Oryzias latipes: one gene and its partners. The protein of the gene in region 1 purifies or fractionates together with the protein of each later gene. This does not show direct contact. Links are inferred from orthologs where the notes say so. Each region holds a gene or a part of one and is shown on either strand. Other genes may lie near its edges. The genes, in order: dicer1, prkra and protein argonaute-1.

Region 1 (3,645 bases):
CCTGCTGCTTGGGGCTTTGGATGCCCTGCTTGTCCCAGGCTCAGACGGCAACACCTGCAGTCGACAGAAACACAAAACACGTTTTACGGGAAGTCCAAACACGCTAGATCTTCAACTGACAGAGATTTTAGAGAAAATGTAGGACAAACGATTTCACGCAGTGTTGGGATGCTGACTGACCTTGAGGCCAAGGGAGCAGAGGAACATCTGAGCGGCCCTCTCTCCACAGCTGGTCAGGTAGCATCCCAGCAGAGCTTCTACACAGTCTGCGATGCTTTTATCAGCGATGCACTGCTCCGTATGCAGGTCATAGGAGATGGACTGCTTGCCAAGCTCGGTGCCACAGTTTTCTTCAGACGGGTTCCAGAAACCCACCACAAAATCGTCCTCCTCCCCAGCCTTGCTGGGGTCCAGGTAGCACATGGCGTCCCAGGAGCTGTAGTCAAACTCCTCTGCCGACATCCCGGTGGGCGCAGGATCGCTAGGGAACTGGGCTGGATGGGAGGGCTTTTTGGGAACCTTCCAGTCATACGAGGATTCCAAGCAGGAGCCCGAGGCCGGGCTGAGCGAATGGGGGAAGCTGCTCAGAGAGATCTTCTTACCGAAGGCGCCCGATCCCAGCAGCATGTTATCAATAAAGCGGATGTGCTCCTTGTAGTACTCCAGGTCATCCTCCATGTTCACTTCATCTTTTGGCTCTTCTTTCAGCATCAACTCGTCCAGCTCCTCGGCGGTGTCATCCTCATCGTCATCGTCATCAAAGTCATTCCCAGTCCTCCCATTGGTCAGAAGCTCCTCTTTGGACTTAAATATAGGAAGGAAAAAGACGACAGTGAATCTAATGGACCTCCATTAGTGTAGTTAAACGTGGTCACTGTTTCCTGTTTATTCCGTATGAATTTGCTGGTTATAAAGTTCTTTTTCTTGATGGTGCAATAGCCAAACATTTTTCTTGCTTTTTCTGACAAATTAAACACTGAACTGATGGTGTGATGAATCACTAACTTGTTTATTTGTATTTTGGGAGGTAAATAAACAACATTAATAAAACTGATTCTCAAAGGTTCAACCTGATCTTTTTCTGATACAGACAAAAAAAAACTCATTTTTAAAATTTTATTATTTCAGATTAACCGTTTCCTCTATAATTATAGATTTATCCTCCCAAGTTTTTATTTTTATTTTGAAATAAACAGGAAGCTTCTCTTCTAGAACAGAATTTTCCAGAGATTATGATCACAGCCTATTTGCTTTAGGAGCAAAGACATCAAAAAAGGGGGAAGCCTGCCCTCTACTGGACCTACAGCATCACAACTGCACGAAGAAGGAGAAATACGAAACGCTTCCCAAACCTGCAGGAAGTAGAAAATCAACAGCACCAACCTCTGAGTCCACTTTGTCAGTGCTGCTCTTGTCCTGGTTGACCACATATCCAGGGGGCAGCCAGTTAACAGGGGGGTCAAAAATGGACACCACCATCCTGCTTGGCAGCCCTTTCTTCTTGCCCAGACGGTACAGGTTACAGTTGCTCACCTGGAGGTCAGGTTGGGAATCAGGGCAGCTTCAGTGAGGTTTTTGTTGGCAAAAGTAAAACATCCTGACATAGCTTGGACTTTGTGATTGTAGGAAAACACAGAAAGCTCATTGGGAAAGCTCTGAGCAGGAATTGTGCCGCTCACCTTCTTGCTCCTCATGTAGCTGAGCCGTCCTTCATGGGCGTCAGGATAGGTGCAGAACAGGTATGTGGTGATGGCATGCTTCAGAAACGAATCTCCCAGCATCTCCAGCCGCTCCAGGTTGAAGCCGTCACTGGCATTGGACAGAGTCAGGGCCTGCAGTATGAGACCTGGGTTGGGCCCCAGGTTCTTGGGGGAGTCTCCCACGGTGGAGCCCTGCTGGTGCTCGTTGGTTGAGTCCGATGAAGGTGCTGTAGGGCTTCTGGGAGCTGTGGCCGAAAGCTCGCAGCCTGAGGTAGTTTCAGGTGTATGGTGCGAGGTCCTTGCAGGCATACATTCACTGCTGGGCTGTGGAGAAATGGAGCTGGAAGGAGCCCGCGCAGGAGCTGAGGTAGACACTTGTTCGGATTCAGCGCTCTGCAGCCCAGAGCTGCTGGAGCTTAGCTGGCATTGGCAGCTGTCAGGTTGGTGAAGGTGCTCGTCTTGGGGGCCACTCTCAGCGGTGCCATTAGTTAGATTAAGAACACAGGAGCCATTTTTGGGAGCAGGGGCCAAATGTGGCTCCGGCTGGGGGGAAAGGGAGCGGCTGGGATGCGCTGAGAGGGCAGGTTCTGAGCTTCCAGCCTCCTGATGCACACAGACGCCGTCCTCGCTGCAGGACTCGGAGCAAGAACTGTAAGCTTTGTTGTCAATGGATCTTTTCCACCCGAAGTCCAAGTTTGGATATCTGACACAAAAACCGCAAAAGGCCTGAGTGCAGAAATCTCACTGCGACCTGTAAAGTCAAACATGGAACGCATGCAGCAGCTACCTGAAGTCAGGGGGGAGGGTCTGTATCCCCACTCCTGCCTCACAGGCAGTCTGGGCTCTCAGCTCCTCAGCAGTCAGCAGACAGTGGAGGCGGTACAGGATGCTGGGCAGACACACCGCTTTCCTCCACAGGGAGGCGGGGATGGGGTGGATGGCACACAGCTCCGGAACAAGGATCTGAGGAACAAAGAGTAACCAGCAGGCTCCTCAGAATCTATTTTTACCCCCCAAAAAAATGTAAAAATCCAGCAGGAACGTTACCTGCTTGTTCTGCAGACTCTCCCACTTGGCTTTCCTCTTCTCTGCGCTGCTCAGAGGCAAAGCTTTGCCCTTCTGGTTCAGGTGCCGGGGAGTCAACAAGTTCAGTCTGAGAGGATGAGACGCTGCTTTAAAGTAAAGCTTTTTATGACAAAACCATTTACTATAAACTGTCATTTACGTTTGAAAAAAAACATTATAAAACAACCAGCTTTTACACTTTCTCTCCACACTCCTAACTAGTCACATGACACAACACACTATTGCCTTCAGCTTTAACAACATTTTATTCTGAAGAGTTTTAAACTTGCAGATGTAGTATTTGCGGTGTTTTCAAATGATGACACCCCCATTTTGGCGAGAGCAACAAGCTATCTTAGTAATGTGAATATTTTAAAATCCTGAACAGTTGTTGCACCTCACAAGAGCGCAAAACATAGAGCCAATTCCCCAGAAAAGTGTGCAAAACGCTTTTATTCTGAACCAAGATGTCGTCCTCAGAAGGTTAGGATGTTGTATCAAAGTGGAGTATTTTCATGGCTCTCTCATGTATGAGATATGTACCGATCTCTCTGATTTTAGGGGTAAAATATGGTGACAATACGTGATCTGAGGGCTCATTAGCTTCACTTTGGTGTTGTACTTCCGTGGTCCCCAACCTTTTCCAGGCCACAGACTAGTTTACTGCCAGACAATATTTTCACGAACTGGTCTATACGAGGGCATGTATGACGGATACATTTATCCTCATCCACTGTAATGTATCTGCAGTTGGTTTCAACTTCATTTATCCATCAGATTTTGGGTAGTAACAAATGTGAAATAGAGGATCATCCAGAGGATCATCGGCTGCCCTCTCCCCTCACTGAAGGATTTCTACCAGTCACGCTGCCTCAGCAGA
Region 2 (4,168 bases), on another chromosome or scaffold:
TTATGGTGTCAAATCGGACGCTCGGCTTTGGATTCTAGGAAATCAAAAGACAGTGGAGAAAGAAACGTTTCCTGAAAAGCGGTGCAGAGATGTTTCTGCAGAGGACGGAGTCTCCACTGACCCATGTGACTTCTGAACATCCTGACAAACTCTGAAGCTTTGCCATCATTTTCTCTGCGGCAGCCTTCTTTGCTGCCTTTTTGGAATTCCCTGCAGCTGCAACACAAAACACAACTTTAGGAGAAAGAAAAAACTGAAACACGCAAGGATTTTTTCTTTTGTAAATGCTCATACCTTTTTCTGATAAAGACTCCAGTCTGCAGGTGACTGTAAACTCTCTGATGTGTGGGGGGCCGGTCTCCCGTAAAACTGTGTACTCAGGGAGACGCCAACCTCTCTGCAACGCCAACTCCTGCATGAAACAAAGAGGAGGAGAGAGGATTTCAACGCATACAAAAAAAATGATTGAGTTTTTAAGAAATTCATTGATATTTCTAAATGGGATTAGTAAAAACTCTTCTGTAGGTTTATCATTATGAATGTTCATAATTGCAATTATTTTAAGGCTCAAAAAACCTGATCAAATGTTCTACAATAAAAAAGGACAAAAGCAAAAAGAGACTGAGTACCTGGAGTAGTCCTACAGAATTAGGAAGATGGTTGTTTGTTTCGGCGGCGTTGCTTAGACCCGTCGCAGCAACATGTCTGTCGAGCATCAAAGATTCATCAATCATCACTTAAAATGAGTCACATTTCTGTATAAAGAATGTCTAAAACTACTTGTATATTTGGCTAAAGCAAACAAGGAAAACTTAAAGGAGATTATTTTGGACAAGCAAGAACCCAAATATGCGCCGGCTCACCAGTTCAGGTCTACTTACCCAGCTCCAGCGTCTGTGTACAGAATATTCAGAGCAGCCTCTGCAGCTTGGTGCTTCGCAGCTTTTTTACTGGGACCCTGGCCTGAAATAAAAACATATCAATCCACTTTATTCTCCAGATTTATCTCTGCACGCAACATCCTAATAAGCAGCATTTTATGAACAAGTGCATTTTATATGTACCCCTATATTGCTTATTTGAAATAAAAACAAGCGTTTTTAAAGTACGGTATATTTTTTCTCTGAAAACTATTTGACTAAAAAGCAGATGTGACCAGAATTGTTGTTTGCAGAGCTTGTGAACAAACAGCTCTCGCCGTCCCCAGACGACGTGTTTCAGCTCTTTTCACACACATTCAAAGGATTCAGATCAGGACTCAAAGTGGGTCACTTCAGAACAGTGAAGTAATTTTTTGACCGTGTGTTTTTGGTCATTGGGCTGTTGGAAGGCTGATAATCTGTGACTGTGATTAAGATTTCCAACACTACAGAACTCATGTTGCTGTATGAGATATAATCTTGATCTCGTTATTTCCTGCACAGATTTAAAGCAGAGCCGACCCAGACCATGACACTTTAGCATACCTACGCATGTGACGTCACCGACTGTCACGCTGAAGACAAAGCTGGGCTGGTGAGCCTGGCCTTCAGCCTTCTCCATCATGAACATGGGATGGTTCCCACTTTTGATCCCATACTCATGCAGGATTTGAATTGGAGTCTTCCCAGGGTTATTCCACAGAGGTTCAACTGGGTTTAGGCTGGTGAAAAACAAGTACACCAAAATATTAAAGAAGAATAGAAACTGAATCCCCAAGATAAAAATTTAGGCGTTCAGTATGACAGCAGAAAAACATTTCAACAGAATAAATGACCAACTTAACCCCTTGAGGACTACATTTATTTCCAGCTATAAAACAAATCACTTCTGTTTTAGCATCGAAGTGATTTGATGCACATTTGCATCAATGATGATGTCTCCAAAGTTGGACTGAATGCAGCAACTGTTAAAGACCCACTTCAAAACATTTGTGTTTTTGGTATTTTTAACATGTTCTTATGGGATTTTTCTGATGATGGAGGACAAATATAAAGAAAATTAAGCTTACATTTGTATTTCTGAGTATTTCTTTATACAAGTCGTTGTGAATCAGGAGCAGATGAAAAAATGCAATTGGAAAAAGAGCTTATTTGTGGTTGAGAGCCCGGCGCCGTCTCACTTCATGATCATCCAGCACATTCAGGACCGTGATGTGCTGGATCTTCATGAATCTCACTTCAATAGAAAATACCGCAATTTTATATATTTAAAAATAAATAAATAAACATGCTGAGTCTTTTGAAAGCACACCCCAAGAAAATTGATTCCTAGTTAGAGTTACCGTAATTCTTTTTAAACCTGCCAATTGCTAGGCTTAATGACTCCCGCCTATGTGACCATATAACAAAACTCGTGGGTTTTTTGTTGTTGTTTGTTTTGTTTGTTTTTTGCAATTCTCCTTTCGGCAAACAGACGCTATAAATCAAGCCTAAATGACTCATTTGGCTATTTAAAAACCCCTAAAGTCATGTAAAGAGATTTGAACTCTTACCCTTACTCTTATTATTCCAACTTTAATTTAGAGCACACAAAACCCCAAAGAATCAACGAAAAGAATCTTTCCAGAACCGTTTTTTTTTTAGCAAAAACCCATCGTACATAACTGCAGTGTTGTAAACAATATAAATGCAGTTTTCATTGGGTTGTAACAACAACAAAAAACATCTATAAACTGGTAATAACAAAGCACCAACCTCGGTTCAGCGGTAGCAGTCATCATGGCTGGTGTCTGATATCCTTCCTGAGACATTTTGAAAGGTCAGACTGACACCCGGATACTTATTGTTTTACCCTTAACTAAAACTCCAACACGATGGTTTGATGTAGAACCAGGACATTTGATCGCAGTTGGCTAAAACATAAGGGAATAATGTTTTCATTCCCTTTCCCTTTCACTCCCTACAGTTAGAGCGTCGCCGGAAGACAAAAAGAAAAGTCCGACATCAACATCCGGGTCAACGATGGGTCAATAATCCTAAACAACAAAAACATGTTAGTGCCCTCTAGTGGTGAAACCTTTTAAAAATTAAAAATAAAAAACTATTGATTGAACATAACAGAACCTCTGGACAGAACATAGAAGGAAAAAAAACGTAATTTCATCCCGATAGAATAAACACAGAACAGATATTGTACATAAATAAATAAATAAAATAAGCACAAATTTAGCAATACAAGGCTTTTTTAAGGTAATAATCGGCAGAATTGTATCTTGAATAACTTATTCAAACTGTTAAAGAATTAAAAGAAGAAAAAAAACAAATCTCGTTATGAGGGGTTTAATGGTCAACCAGATTACAAAATGTTATTTATTTTCCCATATACTTCAAATCCCATTTATTTCGAATTCTTTTGATGTGTTGTACATTTTTTCACACATAAGTGTGTTGACATGTTCTAACGCTTAACCAAAAATGTATAGAAAATGAATTTTCTTTTCAGCACTCTTTTTTTTATGCAGACTATAATAGATTTAGCAAGGCAGAAGATTTAATTACAAGAAAGTCTTTTTTTTGTTGTTTGGTAATAGGATTCCAAATGTTACATAGAGTCTGAGAACAGAGTCTTGGGTTTTAACCAGCTTTACCTGTCTAGTTTTAACTAGATTAGGATGCCTAATATAGTTTTAACTACACTAGAAAATTTGCATTTCTTCTGCTTAAACATCTTCTTCCTCTTATTTTCTCTAGTAACAAATGCACCCCATACAGTGGTTTCACAGCATATTTTTATTTGCACAGTCAAGAACATACAGTTAGGACAGGAAACATGCACCTTTTGAAAAGGATGTTTAGTGCATTAGATGGACTAACAATAAACATTCAAAAAATTAATTGTTACTGAATAAAAAGTGGAAAATTAGGATTTAACCTCAACTCATGGCATTTATCTGAAACATTTTGTAGATATTGCATAAAGAAGTAAAAAAAAAAAAACATTTAGTCTTGCATGGAGCGTTTTTATTTAAATAAAAGGCTGTCTATGTGGATTTCCCAGCAGTCATTTATCACGGTTTGTCTTCAGGGTTGTGATGTGTCCTCTGCGTCTGACTCTCACACTGATCCAAGCGCGGGAGTTCACACCCGAACTGTTGAATCGGAAGGACTCTGTGAGAGAAACACACACACACGCAGAGGTTCAGCCTTTATCCAGTAGCTAAAAATGCTTTCATTCAAGAAAGGATGAT
Region 3 (4,414 bases), on another chromosome or scaffold:
TGTATTTTTTTCTTTTTAAAGCAAATTTTTCTAAGTTTAGAGGGTCTTCTATCGAAAGGTTTTTGGGGGGCTGCTTAAATGGGTGCTAGTAGTGACTCCTGTCTAAGAGGGCCCCACTGCCGTAACCTCTGGGTCCCCAGAGAGCAGCCGTCCACCATCACAACAAAGACCCCAGCTGCCCTGCTCCTCCATCTTACACACAGAAATACACGGGTGTATGGCAGAGGGAGCGCCCCTGCTACGATGAACGCACTCATACACACAAACACGGGGGGCCCCCCTCTACATTCCCAGCCTCACCATGGAGACACCACGGCAACACAGAATTGTCATGGATATCAGGGGACTTGTGTGTGTCTGCATGAGTAGAACTGTAGGAGGAGATGGGAGGAGGCAGGGGTGCTGCTGCGGTCATGCTGAAGACCTTGGCCTCTTTGCTCCAACGCATCACGTTCCCACATCAGGCAGAGGCGCCAAAGCGTCTTAAACCGGAGTTTGGAATAATCGGATCAATACGTTTATGTGGCCACCAAGCTTTAACTCAAGAAAACTCCTGCAAAACACAGAAAGCTGCTCTCCGCTCAAAGTGTGGATCCTCCTCTGGTGTGGACTCACACATCTGACAAAAACAGTAAACACAGACACCGGACATGTGGTGACCATGCTGACTCTTCTAGGTGCAAGAAAGCATGTGCACGCGCAAACGTGCGTGTGCCGGGACTGTCGCACACTCACACACACACACAATGACGCAGACTTCCCCCTTGTGCCAGTGAAGGCAGATGGTGAAGAGCAGAGCCAGGGCTTTCACATATCACAAGCACAATAGCAGTTTCTTTTGGGGTAGTGCAACTTAAATATTACAATATAAAGACACTCCCTGCTGCTTTTTAAACCACCTAGCAAAAAAAAAAGACCCAGACATGAAGAAATACCTTCTAGATTTAAAAGTAACATAGCGTAAATGTTTTTAAATACTTTTTTTCAATACTTTGAATTAAAGAAAATCTTTAGTTTTAAACTTAATTTCTAAAAGATGACCCTATCACCTCCAGATCATCATATTATATATAAATGTTACTTTTAAATCTTTATGATTAAAAATCTCAAAATAAAAAATAGCAACTGATGCTGTTAGGATGGAAAGTCCTGTCCACCTATCAACACTTTAGCTCAAAAGATCTGATTTGGCAATCAACCGTGTGGTAAACATGTCTAATCGGTTTCAGGAAAATGCCACACAACTGTCACACTTCAAACACAAAAGCAGACTTTGAAATAAAGGGCCCCCAGGGGCCCTCCCCCCTCCAATCACAAATAAAATAAAAACTAGTCTATTCCATTCAAAATTTAGACCAGCAGGACAATGTGATTTTAGATCGCCGGTCCTCTTGAATTAAGAAAATAAGAGCTACTCCAAGTGAAAGATAAAGTTAACAAACAAAAAAAGTTTTACAAAAGTGGAGAAAAGTAAAGCATCCAATACTTTTCCCAACTACGAGATAAGTTAAGTAAAACACAACCTTTTTTGTTCAATTCTTGCTTCTACGGCTCAGTGTTCACTAAGAAAACTGCCAATTAAAGATAAATTTGAACGAGAATTATGCAGGACGAGAGGGAGAAAGCCCATTGACATCCAGTTTACTGTAAATACACGAGCTTTTCCAAGTCCACCAGAACAAAACTACCTCCTCCTGCTAACACACACAATCTAATTACTGTTGATTTTAGTTTTCATGTAAATAATTGATCGATCTTTGCAGGTGGTAGGGTTGAGGTTGCATGCTAGGCAAATGGTGTTTAAGACATGCATGATAAAGGGGGGATGCTGTGCTGCGTGGGACCTGCGGGACTCAGCCAGCTGCTGCTGCTGCTGCTGCTGCTGCTGCTGCTGCTGCTGCTGCTGCTGCTGCTGCTGCTGCTGCTGCGGCTGCTTGAAGGCGGGATTCAGCCGCAGATTCACGTCGTTCCCATCATCCTCTCAGAGATTCCCACGACCTATCTGCCCCCGCACATGGCAGACGACACATTGTCACCACCCGGAGTCTCCTCTTAAATATTGTATTTGTTTGTTTTCTGTAATGATGGTGTGGTGCATGTAGATTGCATGAGACTCCTCTCCATGTCCACTCCATCTCAGTTTAATCTTCCCAAAACGTAGCGATGCAGAGACAGAGGCGCTAACATCAACTTACTGCATCCTCTTTCTAGGATGCCTCACTTCCCCAAATGCAATCTGTGTATACAGTCATGACTCAAACATTTGGACTGATTGCAATAATAAGAAAAAGACTTACCAGCGCCAGACGGTCCCGGCTCCATGATCCCATTCACTTAGCCGCAACGGTGCAAGCTAGCTAATCCTGGGTGCTGTGGCCAAACCGCCGGCCCCTTCAGGTTGGAAGTGTTTCAGACTTCCAGCCCCCTCCTGTCGGTGTTGAGTCGTCCCCTTTCTCGGTGTACTCCCGCCCCCTACCTCCCCAGCCGACCCCCCCCCCCCCCAGACCCGCAGAGAGGGGTTGAGGCTAACGCGACAGTAGCAGGCAGTTGCTGCTTTGCCCGTTGACCCTGAATCTGCTACGGCAGCGCTGGAACGCCTTGATTCTGATCGCTATTACTCCGGCGTGATTCCGCCGTGGACGGTGGATTTGCCGATGGTCCACGCAGCTGGGATTTCTTACTTAGTGTGTTCTCCAACTCAACGTTCAAGCAGGGTTCTCCAGCGGAACAAAAAGGGCCAGTACCTCAACCCCCCCAAAAATCTTAAACTTCTTCTTTGTCACCAAAAAAAGTCCAAACAAACTGTTGACAAACTTAATGTCAACCTCTAGTGGTGAAAGGCGGAACTGCACCCCATATTTTGAAGAGACAAAATTGAGGATTCACAGAAAAAGCTTTTTTATCATTCATAAAATCAATCCATACACAAAATGTGAGGGAAACTATTAACTATATTTTTTAGCTTTATGTGAGGGTCAAATGTGTTTCTAAGTCTGAAAAGTTGACAAAATTAAACATTTAGCACATTGAAGCACTCTTTTTCACTTAAGTCTAATGGCATTCAATTGAGTGATTCCCTGACACATTTCAACATCAATCCAAATAAATAAGCAACACATAACAACGTGTTTTATCAATGGCAAAAAGTCCCAAAACATGAACTGTACAAGAATAGAATTTACAATGAAAACCGTGAAACTTAGCAAACCCCTAAGCAGATTTATCAAAAGTGTCAAAGGTTGGGAGTCTGCGACATGCAGGAGAGGCTTGATTTTGCTGAGATGTTTCCAAATGTCAGCCGAAAAATGACATGTGTTGTGTATTAGGATGAGACTGGGTTGTCTGATGGGGAAAAAATAGAATAGAAATTAATTGAATTGAACCTTTTTCCCCACAAGGGGTAAATTACCTTGTTACTCTCGCTATATTAAAAACAGCAGATAGATAATAAAAAACATTAAAATTACCCTTCAAAAATATTGACATCAATAATTATTATCCAGCCTCTATGAGGCTTCGTAGATATATGTGAAATCTCTGTGTGTGTTTTTGTTCATTTATTTTTGTACAGACTTCTCGTATAAGCATGTACTTTTTTTGCTTCTTCAAAATACCTTGAGTTTCATTTATCTCTCCAGACATAAACCCAGATATTTATTTATTACCTATTCAAAGTAGAAAGAAAAAAAACCTTAGCAAAACCAACTTTTATTTTTGCTTTTAGTCTGAAAGTAGACAGCTTAATCATAACATTCGTAATGCATTTCTGTTCTATCTCAGAATAGTTGCACTTCTGTGAATGCGCATTTCTAGTTATTCACTTGTGTTTCTTGACCATTGCTCTCGTTTTGGCGGTTATTTTGCAACCTCTGACATCGCAAAGCGATTGGACAAAGAGTAGGAGAACTCGCTGTTTTAAATAGGCGAAGATACATCGATATACATAGTTTTTATTTGATTCTTTAAAATACATATAATTCGAAACCCGTGTAATTTTCTTGTGTGTTTAGAACAAACAACGGCGCGCAATTAAATGCTCAATGTGCGTGATTTGAAAATCCGAGGATGCACGTGCAACAGGAAGTCGTCATGACGCATTTACGGCACGTAGTTCCTGTGCGGAAGTGGTCGTCATCGTAAAAGCTATGAGTTGGAAGCTGTGAAATATGAGAAAACAACTTGTTCTTCTATGGTCTGAATGAAAAACGCGGCTTCCGTTGAGAGTGAGTTCCTGTTGGAGGATTTTGAGTTGTTTTTTATTTACTTAAATAACCATTTAGCAGTTAATTCATTGCATGATGTGTCGCGAGCCCTGTTGGCAGTTGACGTTGAAACCCACTACTAGTAGTACTAGCTTAGCTGCTGCTTGTGAAATGTAATAGTGAACAGAAATGTGACAAAAATAGAAGGCTTG

The links.
Region 2: the proteins of dicer1 (region 1) and prkra purify together in Homo sapiens (co-immunoprecipitation; 4 studies listed by BioGRID and IntAct, with this or other methods). This does not show direct contact. The link is inferred for Oryzias latipes from reciprocal best matches to the Homo sapiens genes DICER1 and PRKRA.
Region 3: the proteins of dicer1 (region 1) and protein argonaute-1 purify together in Homo sapiens (co-immunoprecipitation; 7 studies listed by BioGRID and IntAct, with this or other methods). This does not show direct contact. The link is inferred for Oryzias latipes from reciprocal best matches to the Homo sapiens genes DICER1 and AGO1.

Annotation. Positions count from the first base shown.
Region 1 is NC_019880.2:4,293,124-4,296,768, forward strand, and holds part of dicer1 (endoribonuclease Dicer), read right to left. Parts: intron 2,854-3,645; coding exon 2,748-2,853; intron 2,664-2,747; coding exon 2,488-2,663; intron 2,404-2,487; coding exon 1,680-2,403; intron 1,534-1,679; coding exon 1,384-1,533; intron 805-1,383; coding exon 181-804; intron 55-180; coding exon 1-54. UniProt on the Homo sapiens protein: Double-stranded RNA (dsRNA) endoribonuclease playing a central role in short dsRNA-mediated post-transcriptional gene silencing.
Region 2 is NC_019879.2:22,833,348-22,837,515, forward strand, and holds the start of prkra (interferon-inducible double-stranded RNA-dependent protein kinase activator A), read right to left. Parts: upstream 2,928-4,168; 5' UTR 2,732-2,927; coding exon 2,676-2,731; intron 1,643-2,675; coding exon 1,467-1,642; intron 964-1,466; coding exon 882-963; intron 706-881; coding exon 630-705; intron 413-629; coding exon 295-412; intron 217-294; coding exon 122-216; intron 35-121; coding exon 1-34. Other genes in the region: protein FAM237A, read right to left, coding at 3,982-4,088. UniProt on the Homo sapiens protein: Activates EIF2AK2/PKR in the absence of double-stranded RNA (dsRNA), leading to phosphorylation of EIF2S1/EFI2-alpha and inhibition of translation and induction of apoptosis.
Region 3 is NC_019874.2:24,542,732-24,547,145, reverse strand, and holds the start of protein argonaute-1, read right to left. Parts: upstream 2,878-4,414; 5' UTR 2,323-2,877; coding exon 2,298-2,322; intron 1-2,297.